Caenorhabditis elegans: one gene and its partner. Each later gene encodes a partner of the first gene's protein in a complex. Each region holds a gene or a part of one and is shown in the gene's direction. Other genes may lie near its edges.

Region 1 (7,281 bases):
AACTGCCACTGGTTCCAACAACGAGCTGCGATTTCGAATAATCCATTTTCGCAGCAATTCCCAAAGAATCTTCAATTTCAATCGAAAACACGGATTCGAGTGATATTCCACCAAAGACCTCAATCGTTCCAGATGAATATGAGGCGATGAAATAGGTTTTTTGAGCAATTCGACACGTTTTAACAGCAACAACGCGACCTTCGTCTGGTCGAGACACATGGCGAAGTGAAAATACGCTGGAATTCTTGAATTCTAGAGAATTGAACCAGATAATTGAGAGTTTGGATTTTCCGCCGCCTGTGAGAATGTAGACAGTGCCATTTTCATCAGCTTCATCGTAAATATCCGTGCAAAGTAGATTTTCTCCCACAAATATCGTCAGAATTCTTTTCAAATTGCCATCCGAAATTGACAAGTGCCCATCAAGGGATACTGTAACTAAATAGTTACTCGATCCAGACGCCGCAACAATTGGAGATGAATGTGCATTGCTAATCCAGTAGTTTTTTGATAGAAAATCAATTTTTTGCCGGCATAGCTGCGAATCTCGAATAAAATCGAAATTGAACTTGTTTTCTTCGCTGCCATTCAACTGCCATATTCGATGACCTCCACCACAGTATGTTTCGAAGATTGGAAGATTTGTTGTAGAGTTCCAAATGATTAGTGATGTCTGTAAAATAAGATAAGTTAAATAAAAGTGTGTGTTGACGCAGCTTTTTGTACTCCCCGAGGAGAAGATGGAAGTTTTTTATTCAACATTATAATTTTTGAGGCACCACGTATTCAAGATCGGGTGGGATACCAGATCCGGAAAACGTAGATCCGAAATTCCACCAGATCTTGAATCCGTGGTGCCTCAGAAATCAGGAAGTTCCAACAAAAAACTGTAAAATCTTCTCCTCGAGGAGTTCACGAGATATGAGTAAATCGACTCTTACCCCATAGAATCCAACAATCAAGAGATTTCCTTTCCATTCAATAAACTTTGATGGCCATGCCATTCTGCTTGATGTCGAGAAGCTTCGAAAATTCATAACCTCCATTTCATAGTTTGTAGTGCCACCACGTATTAACCGAATTGTACTCCAAATTCCAGTTTTGCCAAGTGTCATGAATATTGAAGAATTGGGAATTGATCGAATACATGTGACTTCTTTTCCACCAAAAAGTTCAAATGACGTGGAACGCTGGAAATATATAAATTTTCGAAGTTTTTAGCTGAAATAATTAAATAATATTATCTCCATTTTATTTATCTCATAACTTTCGACTTAAAAAAAACTTTTTCCAAAACCCAAATTTTTGTTTTTCTGGAGAATTTTATTTACAAATTTCCGAATATTTTTTTTTCTGTAAAACAGAAAAATTCGGAATATATTAATTTTAGATTATTCCTTTAAAAGTGGCGTACTCGAATTTTTTAAAATTGCTTTTCAGAAATTTTCCTTTCATTTTTAGATTTTCTCATCTTTACAAGGAAAAATAAATCTCGTTTCATTGTAAAAAAAAAGGAAGATTTTAGTGCAAAACTATAATATTCCTTACACTCAAGCTCAGACGAATATCATCGTTCGGTTCATCTAAATCTACATGATACAGCTCTCCATGCGTCGTTCCAATAACCAATAAATTATCGTGGACTACTGAAATCACTGCCGGAATCATTGATGCATTCTGTGCGCGGAATCTTTTCAGACATCGGATATTCTCAACGTCGGCAAAGTTGTAGACGTGCTGAAATAGTATGTTTTCCTTCGAATCCCTTCTTCTCTAATTCTTACAATTATTCCATCAATAGTCTTAATTGCCACGTATGAGGCGTGACACGTGGCAGAGATGATATTCATTGACAATTTCAATCGATGAACTGACGAAGTTGTGATGACAATCCACGTGTTCTGATGCCACGCTACTACCGAATCATCTGATGACGTCATATGCTTTATATTTGTGCATCGGAATATTATTCGGAGCATTGCATCGGATTCGAAGAGGATTAGCTCACTGTAAGATGATTGAGTTGTATGATTTTTTCTTAGAAAATAGTGAAAAGGAGTTCAAATTTCCAAGTCGCCGAATTTTAGACCATTGAATAATTTTAGGCCTTCACAGGAATTTAGGCTTTCTGAAGAATTTGTGCAAAATGGTATAAAAATGCAAACTTGGAATTAAATAGTATCTCATTATGCATTTTTTGGATTTTCCAAAAAATAAAGTCCAATATTAAATTTCGTGTTTGGAGGTTTTTTAAAGTAATTTTAGTCAAAAAAAAACTCACTTATCTGCCGTTAAAATCACTAATTTCCCATTTAAATTCGCAAAATTCATCAAATCATCTTTCAAAATTACAATTTTCGATTTCAATGATTGCTGTTCCACGTGAATTTCCAAAAGATCTCCATTTTGAGAGCTGATCGCCAGTGTACTATCGTCTATTTTACTGATTTTCTGAATAACACCAATTGGAATTGCAATCTTTTGCCGCAAATCAATCGAACGTTCATCATATTTCCAGCAGAACAGTGTTTGTTCGATACCGCCCGTGTAGATTCTATAATTGATTGGATCCACGCAAATGGCGAATGGACGGGCTGTATGACCGAATACTGTGCTAAAAATGGAGAATTGTGTCGATTTACGCAGCAGTTCTCATGTACTCCTCGTGAAGAAGATTTTTTTTTGAATTGTTTTAGTTGAAATCGATAAATTTAAAGTTAAAAATAAGTATTAGAAAACCAACCAAAGCGGACCACTTTCTCTGTCATCAATTGGCCACATTCGAATTGTTCGATCATCAGAAATTGTGAAAATACGTGTGGAATCCGTTACAATTGAAAAGATCATTCCCTAAAAATTGGAATAGTATAATTCTTTTTTCGGCCAACAACAAAGCTATTTCCAAGTCAAAAATCGAACTTTATGTCCTTTTCTCATAATTGGCTTCTCGTCTTCGTGTGGCTTCCAATCAATTAATTCTCCGATAACACTTCCAAAATACACGTGACAAGATTCTGCACTATTTCCGATGATTAGAGAGCAAATTCTGGAAAATTAGGAAATTGTTCCAGTATTATTTTACTAATTTACGCACGATGTGGCAAAGTAATCGCATTGAATTTTCGATAAAACGCTCAGATTTGAAGATATGCGAATTGTGAGCGAATTCCTCGATGTTACGGTGATTATTTTCTGAAAAATTGGAAAGTTGTTTGAAGTCGGCGATTTTGAGAGTAACCTTTTACCTTTTCTTTTTTGAACAACTTGCAGCCAATGATATGCTCAGGAAACTCCTCAATTATTTGGTTTTCAGCACATTTTGAGTATTTTTCATCAAATTTTGCACATGTGATGATTTTCCCGCTTAGCAGATGTTTTTCAGCTATTTTTGATTGAATAAGGTGGTCGAGAAGACATGGATTATCTTCTAATTCGTCCATTGAACTGAAAACAATTCGTTTAAGAACAAAAATAAATAGAAAAAAGAAAAAAGAAAAAAAAACAAATTTTCAAAAATAATGCAACTGCGCTCCTCCGTACTCTCACGTTTTTCATTTTTCTTTCTTTTATTATTATACTTCCCTTCCTTTTCAGCTCTGTTTTCATCGTTTTCAACTCATTTTTTTCAGTTTTCATTTAAAATGCTTCCTGGTTTTGGTGCACAAACAGTCAGCCCGTTCCCAAATCCTCCAGAGTACGCATCGGCGTATACAAGTGATCGAATCAATAATGGTAAGGAGTTTGAATTTTGAAATTTTGAAACTAGCAGTTTTTAATTCAGCAAACAGTATTTTTTTTTGTTAGAAATAAAACGCAATTTCTCTAACAGATTTCTCATACATCACTTTAACAAGATTCAGGTTCGGCACCACCTCCGCCGCATCCACTTACGGAATTCAAGGTGTACGGAGAGGAATATCGATTGGAAGATGATGTCATCGCGTAAGAAATTTTAGCGGCTATATAAAAACCAAAAACATGCTGAGTCTAGCCGAATTTTCCCACCTATTTTGCAAAAACCTTTTTCAATACGCGGGAAAAACTAGAATAAAACATTCATTTACAGCCCTCTGAAAAACGCCGGTGTTGCTGAGCTCTACAAGAACAAAAATAATTGGAAAACCGAGATGAAGAAGTTGAACAGGTCCGCCATAGTCGCATTTTTCGATTTGGTCGAAATTCTGATTCGCGCTCCCGATCACCCAATGAGAGAGGAGAAAATGGTCGATTTACACACGATATTCATTAATATGCATCATTTGATCAATGAATTCCGGCCAGTTCAGGTAGAAAAGTGTTTTAAAAATGAAATAAAATCTATATTTTTCTATGTTTTTCAGGCTCGCGACAGTGTTCGAATTTTACAAGAGAGACAAATCGAAGAATTATCGGATATTTGCAAGGATTTTAAGTTAGTCAAATCGGAATTAAGTTTTAAATTTGTATATTTTTTCTCCTTTTTTCCAGAAAATATCTGCGTGATGGTCGAGAAGTTGTCGATGACCAATTCCAAATGATCCGTGGGAAGCTTCCAGCTCCACCTCAACCTTCGGAACTGACACGTGTCAAACTGCAAGACGGAGTGCTTCATATGCTTCAGGAGACAGAAGCTTCAGATGACGTGGAAATGAAAGAGGAAGAAGGATCGGAATATAGTAAAAAGAAAGCGAGGCTGGAACTATTATCAAGAGAAGATGGACCACCGAGTGTTGTACACTTGTTAGCAAGACAGTTTCATGATATCTCACTGAAGAAATAATTAAATAATTTCATTTTAATTTATTTTACCGGGTTTTCGAACTATGATTTTGACTCTGATGATCTTCTGAAATGCTGTAATTAAAATTTCGTTTAAAAATAACTTTTTTCAATCGTTTTTTCATCTTTGTTCTGTTGAAAATGCGTCAATTCGCATTCTTTATTTCGAATTATTTTTTATACTTTTTAGGCAGCTTTCGTGTGACATAAACAATTATCTTCAGGGAATACGTTTCATTTCGAAAAACAGTGTTTTTTCTTCAAAAAATTAAAAACCTGAAAATGAGAAAACTAAAATTTTCGGTTTTTTTATTTTAGAGGAAAACGCCAATTAAAAGCGCAAAGTCGTACGTAGCTTTTTCGATTTTATTCTTTCTATAATTGGAAATTATGAGCAGAAATTATTGATTAAAAATCAATAATTTAAGCCAAAAAAACTGTAAAATTCTCTTCTCCTCGAGAAGTATACGAATTCTGCGTGAATCAACACATAATACCCCTAATTTCAGACGCCTCCACTCATCAGGAATGTCAGATGCTGCGACAAGACGACTGATGAAAGAGCTGGCTCAACTGAAAAGTGAGGCTCCAGAAGGGCTTTTAGTGGATAATACATCAACAAGTAACGATTTGAAGTACGATCGATTTTTTCAGTTTTAATTTGAAATTAATACGAATTTTAATTTAGACAATGGAAAATAGGAGTCGTCGGCGCCGAGGGAACATTGTATGCGGGTGAAGTTTTTATGCTGCAATTCACGTTTGGTCCTCAGTACCCGTTCAATTCTCCGGAGGTAAGAACAAATTTATTTTCGTGAAAAATTGGACTAACTAGAGACTCTTTTTTGGTGTCCAGATTGGTGGAATGTTATATTTTCTGAAAGTTAAATACAATAAACATAACGAATTAAAAAATACAATCTTGCTCAAATTGATGTTGGGACAATTTTTTCGTCTTTAAACGCGTAATTAAGCCAAAAAATCATCATAAAATATAAATCCATTTGGTACTTTTTGGCTTAAATACGCATTCGGACTCCGAATTCGTATATGTATATATTGGAAATTTTCGGCAATTTCGACAATTTCCGGTTTTGGAAAATTTCGGCAATTTCGATAATTGCCGGTTTTGGAAATTTTCGGCAATTTCGACAATTTTGTCGGTTTGGGAAATTTTCGGTAATTTTGACAATTGCCGGTTTTGGAAAATTTCGGCAATTTTGACAATTGCCGGTTTTGGAAATTTTCGGCAATTTCGATAATTGCCGGTTTTGGAAAATTTCGGCAATTTCGATAATTTCCGGTTTTGGAAATTTTCGGCAAATTTCACAATTTTGTCGGTTTTGGAAATTTTGACAATTGCCGGTATTGGAAAATTTCGGCAATTTCGACAATTGCCGGTTTTGAAATTATTATTATTAATGTGTAGAAATAATTGGTTAATATTTTTGTAGTTGTTCATAAATAGAAATCTGTGACGCAGTCTAAGATATACCACTCTGAAGAGAAAATTGTAATTTTTGCAACTAATTTTCGGTACCTTCTCAAATTTAAGATATCAAGGAGTGCTTTTCGTTGCCAACTATTTTTAATCTGCGTTATACAAAAGTTTTCCAACTGCATGAAACACTAACATTTCCATTCAACCCAAAAACCAAAAAAATCGAAAAAATTATTTTTTCTTCTCGACCACTCGAAGGCAGATGGTGCAGTCTGGAAGTTGTCGGAATTGGTTGGTATTTATAAATTTTTCACTACTCACTAATTACTATGTAATTACAAAATAATATTTGAGAAAAAAATAAAAACTGAGAACAAACGAAAAAACTTATCGATCACCCTAATAGTATAACATTGTTCAATATGCACCCAAATCATCACTTTTCCAGGTGATGTTCGTCGGCGAAACTATCCCAGCCCACCCGCACATCTACTCAAATGGACATATCTGCCTGTCTATCCTATCAGATGATTGGACACCTGCTCTCAGTGTTCAATCCGTGTGCCTCTCGATTCTGTCAATGCTTTCATCGTCAAAAGAGAAGAAACATCCAATTGATGACGCTATTTATGTGAGAACGTGCAGTAAGAATCCGAGTAAGACTCGCTGGTGGTTCCATGGTCAGTTTTAATACTTAATTCGAAAATTCGAAACAAATTAAACACAATTTTTTTTCAGACGACAGTGTTTGAAGGACCCCTCCAATCTTCTTTGCTATGTTCTCCCGCCGAATACGTGATACCAGAAAATAATTGACCTATAAAATTATTTTTTTTTTCCGCAATTACTCTTCTCCCTCTTTTTTGCCTTTTTTCATCATCAATAATCCCATTCAACATGCCACCTTCAATTATACACACCTTCTTCCTTCCTCATCTTGTCTCCCATGCCATCAGTGTTTTCTGATACGTTTTCTTTTGTTTGTGAATTTTGTAAATAAAATATGCATCTTTTTAATTATTAAAAAACAACAACAACAATTAATTGGATATTATCTCGATAATTCTCACGCAGCAAGTACG
Region 2 (6,935 bases), on another chromosome or scaffold:
TTTCGATTATAAACGGTTAAAACTATAAATTTATGAACATTTCAAGAAATTTGGCTTTGAAAACGGCTTTTTTGGGTGAAAATTAGATTTTTTGGCTAAAAATTGAATTTTTCTGCTAAAAGTGGATTTTTTCTGCTGAAAAGTGGATTTTTGGTTGAAAATTGAATTTTTTGGCTGAAAATTTGATTTTTCTGCTAAAAGTGGATTTTTTCTGCTGAAAAGTGGATTTTTGGTTGAAAATTGAAGTTTTTGGCTGAAAATTTGATTTTTCTGCTACAAGTGGATTTTTTGGCTGAAAATTGATTTTTTCTGCTGAAAATTGAATTTTTCTGCTAAAAGTGGATTTTTTCTGCTGAAAAGTGGATTTTTGGTTGAAAATTGAATTTTTTGGCTGAAAATTTGATTTTTCTGCTAAAAGTGGATTTTTTCTGCTGAAAAGTGGATTTTTGGTTGAAAATTGAAGTTTTTGGCTGAAAATTTGATTTTTCTGCTACAAGTGGATTTTTTGGCTGAAAATTGATTTTTTCTGCTGAAAATTGAATTTTTCTGCTAAAAGTGGATTTTTTCTGCTGAAAAGTGGATTTTTGGTTGAAAATTGAATTTTTTGGCTGAAAATTTGATTTTTCTGCTAAAAGTGGATTTTTTCTGCTGAAAAGTGGATTTTTGGTTGAAAATTGAAGTTTTTGGCTGAAAATTTGATTTTTCTGCTACAAGTGGATTTTTTCTGCTGAAAAGTGGATTTTTGGCTGAAAATTGAAGTTTTTGGCTGAAAATTTGATTTTTCTGCTACAAGTGGATTTTTTCTGCTGAAAAGTGGATTTTTGGCTGAAAATTGGATTTTTTGGCTCGATTATTAATTAAACCTATAAATTTATGAAGTTTTCAAGAAATTTGGCTTTGAAAACGTGGAGAAATTGAGGTTTTCTTGCGAAATCCGGAAGAGAAAAGCGATAAAATCAAGTGAAAACGACACGTCACGTGCACCGTTTTCTGGTGTTTTGTACGCAAACACCGCCACGGCAGAATGCACAGCGAGAATGTTTTTCGATTTTTTTTTGTTTATTATTTTTGTTTTTCGCTCTTAAAATGTTTTAAAAAGTGTTGAAATTCAATTTTTCACCTAAAAATCGTTAGAAATCACTGGTTTTAGTGTGAATTCATAAAAAGTCATGCCGAAATTGTGAAAACTCTATGAATAATGTGTTTTCTCCGTTAAAAAAAGCGTCAAAACTTGAGAAAAACACATCTTTTTCCAGATTTTCTGACAAATATGGTCAAATCAAAGGGCTTGAAGCTTCTCTGGAGGTTTACAAAAGGTTTTTTCTCAATTTTTCCTCCGAAAACTGCATTTTAAACCCAAAAATTCCAGGAACCGCCGCTTTTTACTGCGTCGGACACTGCATAAGCAAGTACATCGGGGAAATGGTGATCTGTAGTGGTCCATCGATGCATCCGACGATTCATGACGGTGATTTGGTGCTCGCCGAGCGATTTAGTAGGAGTTTTTTGAATGAAAATTTCACATAAAAGTGGCTGAAATTTCAGGTATTCGCAATAAAAACGTCCAGGTCGGAGATATAGTGGGATGTGTGAATCCGCAGAAGCCTAAGGAGCTTCTGTGCAAACGGATAGCTGCAAAAGTTGGTTTTTCGCTTGGAAATCGTGAAATTCATGTTAAAAAACTTAATTTTCACTGAAAAATTGAAAAAAGTTGGTTTTTTTGCCTCATTTTTAGAGCCATTTTCCGCGACAATGGTGGGAAAAACCTGAAATTCAGCAATTTTTTTTTACAAAAAAAAGCAAAAAAAATTGATTTTCAGTTTAAATTTCAGGAAAAAAGTGTAAAAAAGCGAATTTAAGTAGTTTCAACCTGAAAAATCACAAAATCTCTAAAAAAAAAACGCAAAAAATTGAAAAAAAACTGGCTTTCTACAAAACTTTTTGTAAAAAATCTTTGAAAATTCCATTTTCAGCCATAATTTCAGAGGAAAAACCTGAAAAAAAAGCATAGAAATATCTGCAAAAAATGCATTTTTAGCCGAAAATCTCTTTAAAATACCCGATTTTTCATCAAAAAACTACCTAAAAAGTCGCAAAAAACGAGGATTTTTATGGAAAAAATCTGTAAAAAGCCAGAAAACGCAAAAAAAAGTCAATTTTCGTTCAAAAAACCCCAGATTTTTTTATTTAAAAAAAACACCTAAAAAGTCGCAAAAAACGAAGATTTTATGGTTTTTAACGCAAAAAAATCTTTTTTTTTTCGATTTTCTCGAATTTTCAGATGTTTCTTGCACTTTCAGTTGTTTCCAGCCAATTTTCATTTCAAAAATTCGATTTTTCCTAGAAAACCACCTAAAAAGTCGCAAAAAACGAGGATTTTCAGGTTTTTAACGCAAAAAATCCAATTTGCTCCGATTTTCCCGAGAAAAAAACCCTAAAATTTCAATTTTTGCAGGAAGGCGACCCAGTGTCATGTTTTTAGCCAATTTTCGTTTAAAAATCCGATTTTTCATCCAAAACCACCAAAAAAAGTCGAAAAAAAAATAATTTTTCCTTGAAAAATTCAATTTTTTCCGATTTTTTCAAATTTTCAGATGTTTTTAGCCAATTTAAATGCTATTTTTCATTAAAAAAAACCCATAAAATTTTCAATTTTTTCAGGAAGGCGATCCAGTAACCTCCCATTTGCTTCCATCTGGCAGAGTTCCAATTGGTCACGTATTCCTTCGCGGTGACAACGGCCCAGTTTCAACAGATTCCAGACATTTCGGCCCGGTACCTGAAGCCCTTGTTCAGATAAGGCTCAGCCTGAGAATATGGCCTCCAGAGAGAGCCGGATGGATTTCTGATCATTGGTTTTGGGATAAAAGTGATAGAAATGCAGAGAAATAGGCTTCTTTTTCAGTGTAATTATGTGCTTTTCCACCCTTTTTTCCTGGTTTTTGTCTCACTTTTTTTTTTGCCATAAAATACTATTTTTCCATGTTTTTCTACTTCCATTTTCTATTTTTTTAATGGGTTTTAACCCTATTTTTACCTGAAAAAAACACTTTTACAGCAAAAATTCCATGAAAACTATCAATTTGAAGCCAAAAATCCAATTTTTCATCAGAAAACTCTCTAAAAAGTCGCTAGAAAACTAGAATTTTTGGTTTTCAGCGCAAAAAAAATTCAATTTTTAATTGAAAATTAAAAAAAAAATTAATTTTACTCATTTTTTATTCATTTTTATCCGATTTTCAGAGCCTTTCGACCAACTTTTCATCAGAAAACTACCAAAAAAGTATCAGAAAGTATGGATTTTCAACGCAAAAAATTTAGATTTCCATGGTAAAAAGTTGAAAAAAAAAATCGATTTTCACTCCATTTTAATTCATTTTTATCCGATTTTCTCGAATTTTCAGAGTTTTAGCCAAGTTTCGTCTAAACAATTCAAACGTCTACTAGAAAACCTCCTAAAAAGTACCAAAAAACGCACAAAATCCGGTTTTTTATTAGAAAAATACCTTAAAAATCGCAGAAAATAAGGATTTTTTTTAGTTTTTCAACTCAAAAAAATCAATTTTTCTTGGTAAAAATTTGAAGAAAAAAAATAATTTTTATCCGATTTTCTCAAATATTCAAAGTTTTTTAGCCAATTATCTTCAAAAAATTCAAATTTCTACTAGTAAATTCCTAAAAAGTTCCAAAAAACGCATAAAATCCGGTTTTTTATCAGAAAAATACCTTAAAAATCGCAGAAAATAAGGATTTTTAGGTTTTCAACTCAAAAAAATCAATTTTTAATGGAAAAAATTTGAAAAAAAAAATGAATTTTCACTCCATTTTAATGCATTTTTATCTGATTTTCTCGAATTTTCAGAGGATTTCGACCAATTTTTATACGAAAATTCCAATTTTTTATTAAAAACTACATTTCAAGCTCATTTTCAGCCCAAAAACTCTTGAAAATGGCTGATCGAATGACCCAACTACAGGATATGATTAACGAAATGGCCGGATTAATGACAAATGCGATTGGAGTGCTCCAGGCGACTGCTCCGCCATGTGAATTTGGAGCAATTTCACAGGAGCTTGAGGATGAGCCAAATTGCGCGATTTTTGCCGCTGGAATTGCAAAAGCCGCTAAAAATATTGAGGTTTTCTATAGAATTGAGCATTTTTCGGCCAAATTTTCAGAAAATCCTAAGCAAAAAGCTTCAGAAAAGCTGTTTTTCTCGTTTTTCAAACTATTTTTAGCCTGTTTTAACTCAAAAAATTCCAGAAAATTCCAGGAAACCCTAATTTTTATTCAAAAAATTACAAAAAAATCCTCATTTTTACCCGACAAAAATTTAAAATTTGTATTTTTCTATTTTTTTTAACTGAAAATTAGATTTTTTTTTGAAATTTTTGTGAAAAGTGGATTTTTTTTTAATTTTGAGTTTTTTTTAGTTTTAAATTAAATTTTTTTCGGCTGAAAATGAGGATTTTTGTAATTTTTGAAAATTATTGTTTCCTGGAATATAAAATAGTTTGAAAAACGAGAAAAACTGCTTTTCTGAAGCTTTTTGCTTAGGATTTTCTGAAAATTTGGCTGAAAAAATTAATTTTACAATATTCAGCCAAAAAATTTCAGAAAAATTCAATTTTCGGGTGAAAATTTGAAAAAAATTGTGAAAATTCGATTTTCCGGGTGAAAAATGAAGAAAAATCGAAATTTTTCTTTAAAAAAATTCAAAAATCCACATTTTTAGCCGAAAAAAAAAATTAATTTAAAATTTAAAAAAACTCAAAATTAAAAAAAATCCACTTTCCACAAAAGTTTCAGTAAAATTAATTTTCAGCCAAAAAAGTACAGAAAAATCCAATTTTTATTGAAAATTTTAAGCAAATTCTCATTTTTGCCGAAAAAATCGTGATTTCTACCCAAAAAACAGCAAAAAAAATCCAATTTTCTGTCGAAAAATTCAATTTTCGGGTTAAAATTTGAAAAAAATTGTGAAAATTCGATTTTCCGGGTGAAAAATAGAACAAAATTAATAATTTTCTTGAAAAAAATCTCAAAAAAATCGAATTTTAGGTCGAAATTCTTTTGAAAATTCGATTTTCTGGGTGAAAAATGGCTAAAAATCGAAAAAATTCAATTTCCAGCTTAAAATTTCGGGAAAAAACCAATTAAATAATTTTCAGATCCTCATCGACTCATTCCCAATCGAAGCGGGCAACCAGGAAGCGGAAGTCGAGGAGAAAATGATAAAAAACGACGAAAAGCAGCGAGAAAAAGTGAATGAGCTCGTCGGACTCGTCGGCGACAGCAATCGGCTCGTCGGAGTTGTTCAGAAGAAGCTTGCCGAGATTTCAAAGACACAAATGAGCTCGAGACCCAGTGAATAATTATTATATTTTGCCGATTTTTGCCGATTTTTTATTGTAATTTTCATCATTTTTCCATTATTTTGGGCCGATTTTCTGGTAAATTGAGAAAAAAAAATCAATTTTCTAGTCCATTTCCTCTTGACAATTCTTTAAAATCCAGAAAAAATTGCCTAATTTGCTGTGAAAATTTCAATTTCATATCGATTTTCATGTTTTTTTTCCATGTTTTCAGCCGATTTCCATTTTTTTTTGTGATTTTTCCTTAATTTTTCGATTTTAAATCAACTTTTTTTCCATTTAAAATCGATTTTTCATCCCTTTTTGCCCCTGAAAATAGTTAAATTCTAATTAATTTTCCCCTATTTTTCTTGAAATTTTCGATTTTTCTCATTTAAAATCGATTTCCACCACTTTAAATAATTAGAAATTCCCAGAGAAAATTGATTTTCATAGCAAAAAATTATTTTGGGCCGATTTTCCCGGAAAATTGAGAATTCTAAATCAATTTTCTAGTCCATTTCCTCTTGAAAATTCCTTAAAATCCAGAAAAAATTTTGCCTAATTTTCCGTGAAAATTTCAATTTCATATAAACTTTCATGACTTTCTATTAAAATTGGGATTTTTCCCATTTAAAATCGATTTTTCAACCCTTTAAAATATGTCAATTTTAATTTATTTTCATTCATTTTTTCCCATTCAAAATTGATTTTCTACCCTTTTTTCTACTGAAAATTTGCTAAATTTGAAAAATTGTGGGTAATTTATCTTTTTTTTTTTAAATTTTTTTCCTCAAAAATAATCATTTTTAATTCAATTTTCCCCCATTTTTCTAGAAAGTTGCCAATTTTTCCCCATTGAAAATCGATTTCCACCACTTTAAATAATTAGAAATTCCCAGAGAAAATCGATTTTTTTTCAAATTTTTCCCTTGAAAATTCCAAAATTTCTTAAATTTCGAAAAACTGTGATCTCTTTTTCTTTTTATTTAATTTTTAACTGTTTTCTGTATTTTTGCCCATTTTTTACACTTTTCCCCCAGAATTTGGGTATTTTTAAATTTAAAATTTGATTTTTTTTTTAAATTTAATACTCCTCATTTTCCTATTCTATTGGCAAAAACCATGGTTTTTTATCTGAAATTCTCTTAAATCTAGCCTAAAACCCTAGCAAAACCACTTCCAGATGGCCCAGAGCACACAAGAAGCAGAAGGAGAGCAACAGAGGCGACAAGCTGTGCTCCGGGAGCGATATTTGAGCTTTTTGCAGGTGAAAATTGGACATTTCATCTACAAAACCTCTCAAAAAATCGATATTTTTGGTGAAAATCTGAAAAATTCAGCGAAAATTTTGAAAAAAGCCACCGATTTTCTCATTTTTCAAGTCTAAAAACTGAAAATTTTCCAAAAATCCCAATTTTTGTGCCATTTTTCCCCGAAAATTCTCGAAAAATTCCAGAAATCCGCCGACAAGCCAGCCACCATCGAAATGTGCGAACGAACTACGGTCACCGCCACAATTAAAGCATTTCAACCGTCTTCGGAGCACGTGATCGTCGGTACGGTGGCCGTGGCCTAGG

The links. The genes of interacting proteins can lie anywhere in the genome.
Region 2: let-49 (region 1) and mdt-21 share a complex: the UniProt entries of both Caenorhabditis elegans proteins name them as parts of the mediator complex.

What each region holds. Positions count from the first base shown.
Region 1 is NC_003279.8:14,816,783-14,824,063, forward strand, and holds let-49 (Mediator of RNA polymerase II transcription subunit 7), read left to right. Parts: upstream 1-3,629; 5' UTR 3,630-3,641; coding exon 3,642-3,732; intron 3,733-3,854; coding exon 3,855-3,942; intron 3,943-4,066; coding exon 4,067-4,286; intron 4,287-4,340; coding exon 4,341-4,411; intron 4,412-4,467; coding exon 4,468-4,759; 3' UTR 4,760-4,869; downstream 4,870-7,281. Other genes in the region: Y54E5B.2 (WD_REPEATS_REGION domain-containing protein), read right to left, coding at 1-673, 942-1,190, 1,549-1,737, 1,785-2,007, 2,282-2,614, 2,744-2,850, 2,920-3,046, 3,095-3,192 and 1 more; ubc-16 (Ubiquitin-conjugating enzyme E2 W), read left to right, coding at 5,287-5,393, 5,447-5,552, 6,648-6,879, 6,938-6,951. UniProt on the Caenorhabditis elegans protein: Component of the Mediator complex, a coactivator involved in the regulated transcription of nearly all RNA polymerase II-dependent genes.
Region 2 is NC_003281.10:11,773,694-11,780,628, forward strand, and holds mdt-21 (Mediator of RNA polymerase II transcription subunit 21), read left to right. Parts: upstream 1-3,927; 5' UTR 3,928-3,950; coding exon 3,951-4,139; intron 4,140-5,172; coding exon 5,173-5,376; 3' UTR 5,377-6,435; downstream 6,436-6,935. Other genes in the region: immp-1 (Peptidase S26 domain-containing protein), read left to right, coding at 1,271-1,316, 1,370-1,495, 1,546-1,640, 2,662-2,892; C24H11.5 (Gem-associated protein 7), read left to right, coding at 6,542-6,625, 6,815-6,914. UniProt on the Caenorhabditis elegans protein: Component of the Mediator complex, a coactivator involved in the regulated transcription of nearly all RNA polymerase II-dependent genes.